Linked DNA regions of Nothobranchius furzeri. The protein of the gene in region 1 interacts with the protein of each later gene in a pairwise test. Links are inferred from orthologs where the notes say so. Each region holds a gene or a part of one and is shown in the gene's direction. Other genes may lie near its edges.

Region 1 (7,450 bases):
AGCCAACCATAGTCTCGACAGATGCCTCAGACTACGGTGTAGGTGCTGTTTTGACTCAACTTGACGGTAATGATGCAGAACAAACTGTTGCATTTGCATCTCGCAGCTTGTCTGATGCAGAGAGGAAATACTCAATCGTTGAAAAGGAAGCCCTAGCTTGCGTCTGGGCTGCGGAAAAATGGCGTACATGGCTCTGGGGCAGAAAATTCCTCCTACGAACAGATCACCAAGCACTTACAACACTGCTGACTACAAAGGGCAATAACAGAGCAGGTCTACGCATAGCCAGATGGTCAGCTCGCCTGTTGGAGTTTGACTATGAAGTGGAATATAGAACTGGATCATTGAACCATGTTGCTGACTGTCTTTCTAGGCTTCCACTTCCCGAGACGGACATGGCATGTGCAGAGAGTGTGGAGTCAGTTGCAGCCATCCTCACTGATCTGAGCGCTGTGTCTGGGCAAGACTTCCAGTCAGAGTGCAAAACTTGCCCAGTGTTCACAAAGCTCCGGGTGCAGATACAGAAGGGCTGGCCTGCTAGAAAGACATCACTGGAACCTGACTTACAGCCTTACTTCCCAATCCGCCATGAACTCGCGGTCCTTAACGAGTGCATTGTCAGAGGTACACATCGATTGCTGGTGCCTGAGTCGTTGCAGAAAAAACTCACTGACATAGCTCATGAATCTCACCAAGGTATTGTACGTACTAAACAACGCCTGAGGGAATTGTACTGGTGGCCCAAAATGGATTGTCACATAGAGACACTGATAAAGAATTGTGCAACGTGCCGACAGAACGACAAGTCCGCCGTCACCCATGATGCTCCACTTCAACCCATTCCTTTACCGGCTGCTGCTTGGGAAAAGGTGTCTGTGGACATCATAGGCCCTTTTGAAATAGCCCCTTCTGACTGTAGATTTGCCATTACATTGGTAGACTATTTTAGTAAGTGGCCTGGAGTAGCTTTTGCTCCCCGAGCTGATGCAGGTACTGTCATTCAGTTCCTTTCCGTAGTTTTCTCTCGTGAAGGGAATCCAAAGACATTGATAAGTGACAATGGCTCTCAATTCATCTCTGCTGAGTTCGCTGACTTCCTCAAAAGCAGGGGGATCCAACACCTGAGGTCCTCAGTGTATTACCCAAGAGCTAATGGGGAAGTGGAGAGATTCAATAGGTGCGTTAAAGACTGCCTACAGACTGCCTCGATTCAAGGTCAACCCTGGAAATCGTTCCTGAGAACTTACCTGATGGACTACAGAGCAACCCCTCATTCTACAACTGGAGTCTCCCCTTCAGAACTGCTCCATGGACGCCGAATGAGAACAAAGTTACAGGTAATAGATATGCCTGTTCCTCAGACAGAGAGGCAGACCATGTGCGAAAGAGTTAAAGATAAGCAATTGAAAATGAAGGAATACACTGATGCTCGCAGACGCGCAAAATCATCCAACTTTCAGGCTGGTGACAAGGTACGGGTTAGGAAGCCATGGAAGGTAAAGAAAGGAGAGTTAAAGTTTTCTAAACCAAAGACTGTCGTGACCAGGAAAGGACCAAATACTTATCTGCTGGATGATGGACGGACCTGGAACGCCTCACACTTATCGGCTCTGTCAGGGCTGAACACAGGTACTGATGCTGACACAAAAATGGACTGTCATAAACCAGGAACTGATCTGGCATCTAACTCTGAGTCTGATAGTAGGCTTAGGCCCATCAGGATGAGAAAGCCACCTTGCTGGACCCAGGACTTTGTTATGGGGAAGTGAGTGTACTGAGTAATGTGAAATGTTAACGTGTATTAGGTGACCTACATCAGAATGATGAGGCTTAGTTCACATAAGGAATCCTTGTTCAAAAGGGGAAGATGTTGTGTCCACATACTGTTGCATGTGTTCTGTAGATGCATTTACTAGAAGCGCTAGAGGGCGCTAGTAAGTACGTTGTGGTTGTTGTGGTAAAAAAAAGAGAAGTGAAGAAGAGAGAAATAAAGCGGGAGTTATCTCCGGTCCTCTGTTCCTACTTACGTGTGTGTGTAATGCTTGCTGGATTAGAGGCACACAACAACACTCTAGCAGCCCATTCAGCTGGTAGCCATCCCCATGTCTTAGCCATGTGCTCAAATCGTACAAAGAAGCTCTTAGGATCCTCACCTTCCTTGAAGTCAGGTATTCTAGGTTCACCTCCATGGATCCTGCCAACCCTTTGTGCTGGAACGCTTTGTGTCAGCTGCAGCTGAGGTGGTGCAGGCAGTCGTAAAGGAGAATGAGGATTATGCTGGTATGGAGTCCAACTTTCAGTAACCTGTTTAAATTTTGAACTATGTTTCTACTGAGAAGTCTACCTGGGTTGTAGGGCTCCAAAAGGGGCAGAGCTTCCTCATCAGTTTCACCTAAATCCTCTTGTTGTTTTCTGGGAGAAAGTATTGCCAGATTTTCGTAAATTTCTTCTTTTGTGTTCTGCCATTGGAATGAAATGAGCTGCAGTCTTTTGTAATAAACTGCAGAAGGATATGTGATCCAATAAAAAGCACAATGAAAACAGACACATGTGCGGTGAGTACAATTAGATGTGTTTTTGTAATTGAAATGTCTTTTTTACACTACAGTTACAAGGTCACAACACACAGATTAATCAAAAGATAAGGCAGAGAAGGAAACAAAGGGGTGTGCAAGTGTATGTGTGCAGATGTACATGTGTAGCCTGGTCTCAAATATCTATTCTAGACCCTACAGGTTAAAAGGATATAAATATTGTGTAAAGCCTTTATTGTAAATATTTCATATATTTGAAAAAACAAGGAGTTCAAATGGTTAAAAATGTGTTTAAAATCACAATAAATAGAAGTCAATCATAATTTGAGTGTTCATGGAGTTATAAGTAACAATGAAACTAAAGGTTTATCTAATGTGAAACAAGGAAAACTTTGTATTGTTTCAAGTTGTTTTACAAGTTCATTTTGGGTTGTCAATCTTGTATTTTCTTTTATCCCATTGGTTGATGTAAACCTACTGTCCAATCAGACGTAAGGGAGGCGGGAGCTAAGTGAGGCAAAAGAAAGAAAAAACAGCGAAGCTAGTGAGAGTCGGCAGCAGCACGTTGCGGGAGGAGGTTGTGTACCAGAGCTAATGGAAGAATAGTGAAATAATAGCCGTGGATGCAGAGTCTACGTTCCTGTTATGGACTGTTTTACCCTGTGATGAGTGAGTACTGAATGTGGAGTTAGCATTGAGCTTAAACGGAATGTATAAGTACTTAAAATGTATGGTGCTAATCGCGAGTTAGCATGTTAGCATTTTAGAGCCTGTAATAGCTATGTATGTCGAGTACGTAAGATACAGCTTATTCTGTGGAACTAAATAGTAATCTCTAATGCACAGTGGACCGAGAGGAATTCTCTGGACTCTTCTGCTGTGGATAGGAGTTCTGTGTGGTTGTTCCAGTGTACTCAGCAGCCCGGGTATGCCGCTAATTCCGACCACCTTGCCGAGTGGAGGCCGCATGGTCACCAACCAAGACTGCCCCTCCGTTTGCCTTGCACTTAGCCCAAAGGATTCATGAGTAGACCTGAGCACGTGTGTTTTGTTTTCTGCTGGTTATCAAGTGAAGCGGCCATTTGTTTGTTTTCTGGCCCAACGAGCCCAAGCAACGATCAGGCCTGCAACGGTTTCAGTGAATGAGCTCACAAAGGTTAAAACTGGTTAGTCATTGTTTCTCCTGTTTACCAATAAGATTAGTTAATGTACCCAGGGCCCCGCTCATAGTACTATCACCATCTTAACCGAGGGTTAATCCAGAGCTACTTGAGTTGGGTGCTACACATTTGGAGGCACCGCTGGGATTGTTGTTGTTTTATCTACATTTTAAGTTACCACTAAATCTGCTGTAACCTTAAAGTAACTAAGAGTAACACTGGTCCTAAAAAGCAACTTCAATTAATCTTTTTTTTCCCCCTACAAAGTAACTTGTTAAACTATGGCCACTAAAAGTGATGTCTCACAACCGAATCTTGCAAATTGGTGCAGAGGTGAAGGGCTCGATCAGGCACATGCCATTCTAGTTGTCGGAGTGCCTGAAGAGGAGGACCTATCCACAGTAGAAGAAACACTCGAACAAGTAAAAACCTTGGGCAAGGTAAGAGTAAGAGGAAAAATGTTTGATGCCAATAATCAAACCCTGACCATGTTATGTGAATGCTGTGAAGCAGTCGATCCTACCAAAGTTCCGCCAGAGTTGATTTCCTTTAAGGATGGAAGTAAATGGACAATAGTTGTTGCAGAGCAAGAAACGAACTCCGACCTATTCACAGAGAAGTTGGACAGATTTCTGCGTGATGAAGGGAAAACAATGGAGGATGTTCAAAGACTATGTGATCCTAGAACTCCATGGAACAGCAGCCCTGAGTCAATCATTCGGGTGGTAGGTGATGTGTTGCAGTCCAAGCCAAATGAAAGCAATTTATACCGTCGTTTTAGAATCTTCTCAGGAGTCTACCCTACTCCACCTGGTGAAGACAACTTGGATAGCTGGCTAGAACAAGTAAAGTTCATGACTGATGAGTATGAGTGCTCAGATAAGGAGAAACGCCGAAGAATTATTGAGAGTCTCAAAGGGCCAGCGCTGGAGATCATTCAAGCAGTGCGCATGTCTAATCCCCTGGCAAACCATGTGGACTGCATACAGGCATTGGAAAGTACCTTTGGTACCGCAGAATCCGGTGAGGAACTGTATCTCACATTCAGAGCTATGCATCAAAGACAAGGGGAGTGCTTGTCTAACTTCTTGCTGAGACTGGAAAGATTACTGAACAAAGTCGTGCAAAAAGGAGGCCTACAAGTAGATGAAGCCAACCGAGCAAGGCTTGAGCAACTCATTAAAGGTGCTACTGAATAAGACTTCATGCTGCTTCATCTAGGTCTTAGAGGTAAGCGAAGTGATCCCCCGACATTTTTAAGTCTACTGAAAGAAATTCGAGAAGAAGAGGAGCGTGAAGCTGCAAGACAAAAACTGAAAAAACCAGCACAGAGACAGCACGTGCATGCAGTGCAAGTAGCAAGTGAAACAGACTCCAGAGATTGTCAGCAACATGAGTTTCAGTCCGAAATTCAAGTGCTAAAAGAAAAGCTGAAAGAGCTCAGTAAGCAGTCTCATTCTACAGAGTCAAGCCACAAAAAGATGTCCAGAGAAAAGAAAAAAGAGAAATCAGACACAAGCAGCGAAGTGCAACAGTTAAGAAAAGAAGTCAAAGAGCTGAAAACACAGTTAAGTGTCATGTCGGTAACGCCACAACATTATGCAAAAGAGAGAGGGCACTATTCTAAGTTCAAAGCGGACTTCAGTCCAAAGTCATCTACCTTTAAGCCAAAGAGTAGTAAAGAGTCAGATAATTTCTGCTACAGATGTGGAGAAAATGGCCATTTTGCAAACAAATGTACAGCTCCGGAAAATGCTCAAAAGGTAATCAAAAAGCTTATTCATCAAGTGCATGGAAGCCCAAATGGACAAAGTCAAAGTACCGACGCTCAAGATCAGTGTGTTGCTCGAGTTAATACTACCAACGTTCCAACTCAAAGTGCCAACATACCGGAAGGTCTTATTGGTCCATCATCCATAGCTCCTAATAAGGTCAATAACATCTCATGCCATGGTCTTATGGATTCAGGATCATCAGTGACCATTATCTTTGAGGATTGGTATAGAGCCAATATACCAACAGTCCCTATACAGCCCATTTCCAATCTAGCCATCTGGGGCCTATCAGCTGAGTCCTACCCTTACCATGGGTATGTAGTAGTAGAGATAGAGTTCCCTGAGAATGTAGCAGGTGTCAAGGGTCCTCTTAATGTCCTCGCTCTTGTTTGTCCAGAGCCCCCGCAAGGTCGTGAAACTCCTGTAGTGGTTGGTACCAACGCTTTTCTGTTCAGCCGCCTATTTCAGTTGTGCAGAGATAGCGGTAACGAGAACAAGGTCAGCTCCATGAGGATACAGGCAGTTTATGATAAAATCCAAACTCAGTCCTTAAGGTCCAGTGGAGGCGACGATCCCATAGGGCAAGTGAAATGGCAAGGTCCAGGGCCACTTACCATTGCTCCAGGGAAAAATTGTTATGCCACCTGTAAAGTAGAGCAGAAAAGAACTAAACCCCAAGATGTTGTTTTGGTTGAGGCACCTGCCATACCCCAACTCCCATCCGCAGTGTTGGTCCAGCCAGGTGTTCTCCGTGAAAGTGACATGGATGAGAACAGTTTCATCGTGCTATTACAGAATGAGTCAGAGAAACCTACCTCTATCCAAGTCGGCACAGTCATTGCCGAGATGCATGCAGTAGACGTAGTCACCGATCCTAAAGTGTTAGAGTCTGAAGCTAGTACCGTAGCTCCCGAACTCTTTGATTTTGGTGACTCTCCTGCTCCAACAGAGTGGAAGAAAAGACTACAGCAAAAGCTAGCGCAGAGGCGTAATGTTTTCTCTCTTGATGAATGGGATGTGGGATTGGCTAAAGACGTAGAACATAACATCCGGCTTAGCAACTCTACCCCCTTTAGAGAGCGCTCACGCCGCTTAGCTCCAGCAGATATTGATGATGTACGACAACACCTACAGCAGTTGTTAGCGGCAGGCATTATCAAAGAGTCTCGAAGCCCCTTTGCATCACCTATTGTTGCAGTGCGAAAAAAAATGGCTCCATCAGAATCTGCATCGACTACAGAACTTTAAACAGCCGTACGATCCCCGACCAGTATACCATCCCTCGTATTGATGACGCCTTAGATTGTCTTACGGGCAGCAAATGGTTCTCAGTCCTCGATCTTAGGAGTGGGTACCACCAAATTGCCATGTCTGAGCAAGATAAGGAAAAGACTGCATTTATCTGCCCCCTGGGGTTCTATCAATTTGAACGAATGCCACAAGGCATCACAGGAGCCCCAGCCACTTTTCAGCGGCTCATGGAAAAGGCAGTGGGTGATATGCACCTTCTCCAAGTCCTAGTGTACCTTGACGACATAATTGTCTTTGGTAGAACACTCGAAGAGCATGAGCAACGTCTCCTAAAAGTCTTAGATCGCCTTGAGGAGTTTGGTCTGAAATTGTCGCTTGACAAATGTCAGTTCTGTCAGTCCCAAGTCAAATATGTTGGTCATATTGTCTCAAAAGATGGGATAGCCACCGATCCCGAAAAAGTAGAGGTTGTCAGGAACTGGCCGGAGCCAACAGATCTAAAAACCCTTCGCTCATTCCTTGGTTTCTGTGGGTATTATCGCAGATTTATTGCAAATTATTCCAGCATAGTCCGCCCATTAACTGAGCTTACCAAAGGTTATCCACCTACTCAGAAAAACAAGGGAGCTCAAACCAAAGACCCAACCAAAACCTATCTCAAACCTTCTGAGCCATTCAAAGAGCGATGGGACCACTCCTGTCAAGTCGCATTCAAAAAAATCATTGAATG
Region 2 (6,625 bases), on another chromosome or scaffold:
TAAAGGTAACATGGAAAAGTGATGCCAAGATTACCTTTTCTTTTTATCATTTTTGTTTATTTACTTACTTTGATGCTAACAAAACTATATTAATCTTACCTTCCTCTTTTGGCATCTCTTCGGTTTTTGCTGCACTCTTGCTTTGACCTCTTCTCCTCTTAGCGGTAGGCTGCTCCTCATTCTCCTCCTCTTCCTCTTTTACCTGAATGAATTCTGTGTTATGAGCAGCCTCATCATCAGCTTCCTGTAAACTCTCTTATAAAACAAACAACAAAAAACAAATGTACGATCAACAAATAATGTGTCTTGCCATCTTCAGTCTGAATTGATTTCTATAAATAAAAAACACCTGTTTTTACAGTCTTGGAGCGGATTTTTCTCTTGTATTTCGTCACAGGGTTAATCTGGACCATCTTCTTCAAATCCACTTCATATGCTGCCCCCGAGCCAAGAGTCAGAGTGACGGATGTCCTCCCTGAAGAAATGGCTGAATCAAGCAAGGCACAGGCTGTAGGCGGGTACGATTCCCACTGTCCTTCATCTCCTTTCCACTGCCACACTGTGATCACAAACAGAGCCAGAAAACAGTAAAACAGTTGTTTAAGTGCTGCATTATAGGAAAAACTGAAAATAATATTCCACAACAGACCTTTTATGAACTATAAAATACTGATATGACTTTATAAAACATGAATCAATTTCTAAACATCAAATTTCTGCCCTGAGTTGATTTCATTCATTAAATGTAATTATGTAGTTTCTTTTTACTACTTTTTAAACAAAGATGTGTTAATCAACTGGACTTTGCAGAGCCATTATATTGTTTTTCTACACTCAAACGAGGCTTTAGTTATTACTAAATTAATTAAATGTAGCAGTGAGTCACTTTATTCTAGTGATTTCCTCCAGAACTGCTTAATATTCGTGCTTTTCACCAGTTTTCGCGCCAAGTTTTGATTCAATTAGTTAAAACACAAATGTTGTCAAATATAAGTAATAGGTAGTGCAGGACATAGTTACCAAAGAATTGTGAAGATGAAAATAAAACCTAATTCTCTGTCCGGGCATGTTTAATGGCTACACTGCTTCCTTCCATGATGTGCTAAAAGCAAACACCAACCTGTTTTTGACGGGACTTCGTGGTTTTCTTGTGCGCGCTGGCTTTTATTTCTCGAACTTCTGGTTCGCCTCATGTTTGTGTATCAAAACAAGTTTATTTAACAGCAGGAAAAGCAGAAATCGAGAAGCAGTAGAAAACACGGCGGGAACTTTCTTTTCTTCGGATAGGCCTGTAGAGAGCAAAGCCTACCGAAGATGGTTTATTAAAAAGATGCCGCACTTCGTAACTAACTAGCGATGAATACAGAAGTTAGCAACGCAGCAATATACATCTGTTTACAACCAAATAATGATTTTTCTAATGATGTATATGTGGTAAAACAAACATTTTTAATCTAATCCTTCTTTTATGTGCTATTTGTTTCCGAATGTTAGCCAGTATCTGTAAACAAGATCAGAGAAAGAACTCTTCTTGTTTCCCTCGTGTAGGAACAAATCTTTAAGGCTCGATGGTTCCACTTTCAGTGGTGGCCGGAATTATTTTGTTGATGCAAATCAGTCGGTCGGTGTGCTTTACAATAGCGTGGATGAAAGTAAATGTTTACCAATATTTCAGTGCCGTTTAGACACCGAGAACATGGCATCAAGTAGCTATAAAGCCTGTGGTCTCAGTCAGAGAGTGGCTGTGGTGAAGATTTTGTTCAGGGTAAGTACTCCACCAGGTGTCTTTGAGTGCATCATTTTCACTGGAGGTCATTTATGTTTTGTGTACATTTATGGTCTGTAAATGACATGTCAGTTTGTAGAAAAGTAGCCCGGTTTGAATATTACATAAAATTATTTGTTTTCATATTTCTTTCCACAGTTTTGCAGTGACTAGTATTTTTATCCTAATGTCCTTATTTCCTTGTTTTCCTGTATTTTTCTTTTCTCTAGTACTGCTTAATATTTTGCTAAGACTGTGCTTTCTTCACACCTTACATAAATTTTTTGTATATTTTTGGAATTATTTATATGCAAACAAACATGTACCTCATACACATATTTTTATATGTCGATTATGTACTCTAACAAAGTCATATAATGCAGCCACTCTGCTTTTCATTTTCCTATTCTGACACTTTGTAATAATAATTTATTCCAGACTGTGAGTGCTGCTGCTAACCCACAGCCCAAAGCAGATTTCCTTAAAGGAGAACCCCACAGGAAACATCCTGGTATGACCAGCCTGAATACACTTCGGCTACCCCAGGAGCTCCAAGTTGCTGCACAGTCAGTCATTCAAAGTGAGATCAGCTGTCATCAACTCTAGCTGCCATAATAATAATAATAATAATAATAATAATAAATAAAACTGACAATTTTCCCACATGTTTGTTTTTTCTTTGTGTAGAAGCTCAGGTGACCCAGCTTACTGATCGCTGTCACAAACTCATAAACTACTTGTGGAGTCGAAAGCGGATGGTTGAGGACGTGACTCTGAGGCAGAAAGCATTGGGTCTGGAGAAAGAACTCTGGGAGAAAGCCATGCAGAAGATGGGAGGTGAGCGAGGGTGGGATCAAGTAACGATGTATCCATGTAGCAGCCCCTGGAGACAATAAATATGTTTCTCTTTGCAGATATTGACGAGGAAGCGCTGAGGAATCAGATCAGGAAAAGGGTTCTCTCAGAGCTCAGACAAACTACATATCACTGGAATTCCCTGAAGTAATCAGAACTTAGAACTCAGCTTAATCTGAGAGTTTTGGTTCGTAACCGGCCCTTTTTGTGTTTCAGGTATGATGAAGAGCTGGGGGTGGTGTACATGGCCTCGCGGCTTGCTGGAGGTTTTGCAGCAGTGACGAGAGCTCTAAATGAGGTAATGAAGTGATTTGTGGAAGACTTTAGCCCCTGTACGTGCCTCTGATCACTCTTAAATTAAAACTGATGTGTTTTTGTGTTCATTCAGATAAAGAAGAGGGATCCCTCATTTGCTCCTCAATCTCTCCTGGATTTTGGGTCAGGATTGGGAACAGTTGCCTGGTTAGTGTGCAAATTAAAACCCTTTTTGTCTAAATGAGGTTAAGTGTGTGTGTGTTTTTTTGCCTCTCAAAGGGCATCACACTTGCACTGGGGAGACTCTTTAAAAGAGATGGTGTGTGTGGACAGCTCTGGGCCTATGAGCGTTTTGGCTGAGCGACTTCTTAAAGGTTGATCTGTTATATTTGTCACATTAACAGAACATTTTTTAGAAGATGCTGAATGTGCTTTCTTCTGCGCAGGTGATGAGGAGGAGGCTGAACCTCTTTTCAAACACGTCTATTTTAGACGATTTCTTCCCGTCTCTCCTAAGGTAAAACATCCCAGGTTTTTGGTTTTGTTACAGAGGAAATGCTGATCTGGATTTACCACGAGAAAGCAATCTCAGATTAACTTAATTATGTTAAAATTGGTAATAAAAGCTACAAATCTGACTCCCCAGTTTCTCTCCTCAGGTTCAGTTTGACTTGGTGGCGGCTGCTTTCACTCTGTCAGAGCTTCCCAGCGTGAAGGAGCGAGAAGATGCTGTGATCACTCTGTGGAGAAAAACATCCTCCTACCTGGTTGGTTAGATCAATAATTCAACTTTATATTTCCTTTTACGCCTTCTGAGTTTTTTCCAGTGTTTATCCTTCACGTGTCGACATTGGCTTCTTGCCTTGTAATATTTGATTCTGTTAATCTTAGACCTGCTTTTATTACTCTTTTAAAATATTTTTTATGTAATTTAACATTTTAAAAATATTTTAATGGTTTTTTTTTGTTTTTGTATAATATGCTCTCAATATTGTTTGTTTTTTTATTTTTCTGAGGTCCAACAAATCGAGAATAGCTAGGTGAAATTAAAAATGCACTTGAAATTAAAACTCAGGTCATGAGAAATTAAATGTGGAAAAAAATTCAGCTTATTTTAAGCTGTGTTTCATTATTTTTCCACACTTTGTCCTTCAGGTTCTGGTGGAAAACGGAACCAAAGAGGGCCATCAGATGCTCATGGACGCCAGAGACACTTTACTAAAGGTACTCCAGTGAAACTGCCGCTTGGTTCTTTCCTGGCGTTTCTGTGTAAAAGTTTTGACAGTTTAATAAATTGCACAACAGAAACAAGAGCAGATTGTTCACGACCCCAGACCAGCAAGAGTGTTCGCCCCGGTAGGTTAAAGGAAAAGCATCAGTCTTGGTTTGCGGCGTTGCATTTTTTGCTGCAGCTTCTTTTTGTTTACTCCTCAGTGTCCCCATGAGATGATGTGTCCCAAACTGGCCCGAGAGCCCATCACACCCTGCAACTTCCAGCAGCGCTACCATCCTCTCCCTCTGTCAGGGGTAAGACTCAACTCTGCATCAACGTTAACACAGAGGATAAGGGTAACAGGCTGCACTTTAGGACCAAATCGGTTAATATCTCCACAAAACCACATCAAAGGGCTGCATGGTGGCGCAGTGGTTAGCACTGTTGCCTCGCAGCACGAAGGTCGCAGGTTCAAAACTCGGCTGCGGCCTTTCTGCGTGGAGTTGCGTGTTCTCCCCATGCATGCGTGGGTTTCCTCCGGGTACTCCGGTTTCCCCCACAGATCACAACATGCCCTACAGGTTATAAAAATTGTACGTCGCTTTGGATAAAAGCGTCTGCAAAATGAATAAACATAAACATAAAGGTATGGCTTGTAAAACAAAGTCTAAATGATTTTATTTGTTGTTTTTTCAGCACCACGAATGCCAAACGGAGAAGTTCAGCTACCTGATTTTGAGCCGAACGGAACCGGCGCAGGAAGGGACAGAAGGTTTGGAATGGGCCCGGCTTATTGCGCCGGTGCTGTGCAGAACGCGACACGTCCACTGCCACATGTGCTGCACTGATGGACAGCTGCAGCACAAGGTGGTGACGGCACGGAAACACAGCCGGTAAACAACATCCTGCAGGATGGGTCTCTTCAGACACCTCAGAATATTGTCTTTAAATGTACCAAAATCCGTTTTTACAGAAAAGTAGCTTCTTTCAAGTGTTTAGATGCTACAATTGTTTTTATTTAAGATGTTTAAAAACGAACCAGCGGCTTGTTAGGATGTGATCATTTCCGATTAAAATAATTTCATCTATTTTTTTTCCTGCTGAATAAACATTTTCTGTTGTCTTTTTGTTTTCTCAGAGATGTGTACCGCTGCGCCAGGAACAGCGACTGGGGAGACCAGCTGCCGATCATTCTGAAGGTTGAAAAGGATGCCGAAAGTGACTCAGAGTGATGACTCTACCAAAAATAAACAATTTTTGAATCCCATAAAACAAAAAAAATTTCATCTAATGACTCGTTTACTACAGAATAGAATAGAAAAATTGTGTTTTTCCTCTCACCTCTTATTAAATCTAAATATTTACACTCTTGTTTTACTTTAAAATGGTGATGTTTTAAAGATGTCACTTGAGTGATGACTCTTTAGTTGTGGAGAAAAGACCTCAGATGAAGTATTTGGCATTTCTTAAGTTTGAATTTTAACTCAGGAGTTCAGGTTTCTTTTCATTTTTCAGAGAGAATCAATACCTCTCTGGGGCTGATTCATTTTTTAATGTTATAATTTGATGCGTACCACTCTTCATGTTGCTGTTCTATGGTGTATCTACAGTATATTTTTCCCATCTGGCATTATACTTAAAGAAAACAAGCTTTGTATTTTTTAATATTTGAAACAAACCAACAAATTTCCTTTCATTTGACAAATGCTGCTTTTAAAGTTTGACAAATTTAAGGTGGGATGAATAAAAAAGGTGACAGCACAACCAAAAGGTGGAGCCATTTACAATGTTCTTTTTATTTTATATGGCAGTAAATGGGAAGAAAATGTTCTTTAATTCTCAACAATCTGTTTTAGGGCAGAGGTCAAGTCTGGGTACTTGTACTGAAATCCAGACTCTAAAGTCCGATTTGGAACGACTTTCTGACCCTCAGTGAGGACCGTGGCCCTTTCAGAACCCATCAGGGCGCTCATAACGAAACCCGGCACAGGAAAGATGGTGGGCCGCCTCAGGATCCGACCCAATTCCTTAGTGAACTCATAGTTGGTGTTCAGCGCAGGTGCAACCCCGTTGTACACCTGTGGAGAGGTGGACGGTGGGTCAGCAGGGGGCTCCAGAGAACCAGCAATGATTCCTGCCAGGTCGGAGACATGGATCCACGGGAATGGCTGTGTTCCAGAACCCAGTGTGCCTCCGAGACCGAGCCAGAAGGGAAGCAGCATTTGTTTCATGGCACCCCCGTCACGACCCAAAACAACCCCTGGTGGACAAAAATGGAATAAAGGAGACCGCTTATTTCAATTTTCCTAATTCAGTTACAAAAAAAAAGCTGTCACATATAATATGACACTTTAGTCATAACAAACAACGTAAAAGGGATTTAGCCAGGAGGAATACATATTTATACAAAACGGTCTGTTCCTTGAAGTGTGTTGTGTGTGTGCAAGGTTACACACACCAGAACGAATGACAACTTGTTTGGTGTTGTTAGCCACGTTCTCTGGAAGAAGAGCTGCTTCCTCCCACTCTTTGACCAG

What was found. The genes of interacting proteins can lie anywhere in the genome.
Region 2: the proteins of paraneoplastic antigen Ma1-like (region 1) and mettl17 interact in binary tests that used the Homo sapiens proteins (3 or more experiments, as listed by UniProt). The link is inferred for Nothobranchius furzeri from reciprocal best matches to the Homo sapiens genes PNMA1 and METTL17.

What each region holds. Positions count from the first base shown.
Region 1 is NC_091745.1:26,672,328-26,679,777, reverse strand, and holds paraneoplastic antigen Ma1-like, read left to right. Parts: upstream 1-3,975; coding exon 3,976-4,893; downstream 4,894-7,450.
Region 2 is NC_091751.1:41,151,012-41,157,636, reverse strand, and holds mettl17 (ribosome assembly protein METTL17, mitochondrial), read left to right. Parts: upstream 1-1,570; 5' UTR 1,571-1,696; coding exon 1,697-1,765; intron 1,766-2,203; coding exon 2,204-2,345; intron 2,346-2,452; coding exon 2,453-2,602; intron 2,603-2,679; coding exon 2,680-2,767; intron 2,768-2,836; coding exon 2,837-2,918; intron 2,919-3,008; coding exon 3,009-3,082; intron 3,083-3,154; coding exon 3,155-3,249; intron 3,250-3,321; coding exon 3,322-3,392; intron 3,393-3,534; coding exon 3,535-3,642; intron 3,643-4,030; coding exon 4,031-4,099; intron 4,100-4,180; coding exon 4,181-4,231; intron 4,232-4,309; coding exon 4,310-4,402; intron 4,403-4,784; coding exon 4,785-4,981; intron 4,982-5,226; coding exon 5,227-5,320; 3' UTR 5,321-5,452; downstream 5,453-6,625. Other genes in the region: parp2 (poly [ADP-ribose] polymerase 2), read right to left, coding at 100-255, 350-559, 1,121-1,193; epimerase family protein SDR39U1, read right to left, coding at 5,921-6,348, 6,547-6,625. UniProt on the Homo sapiens protein: Mitochondrial ribosome (mitoribosome) assembly factor. Binds at the interface of the head and body domains of the mitochondrial small ribosomal subunit (mt-SSU), occluding the mRNA channel and preventing compaction of the head domain towards the body.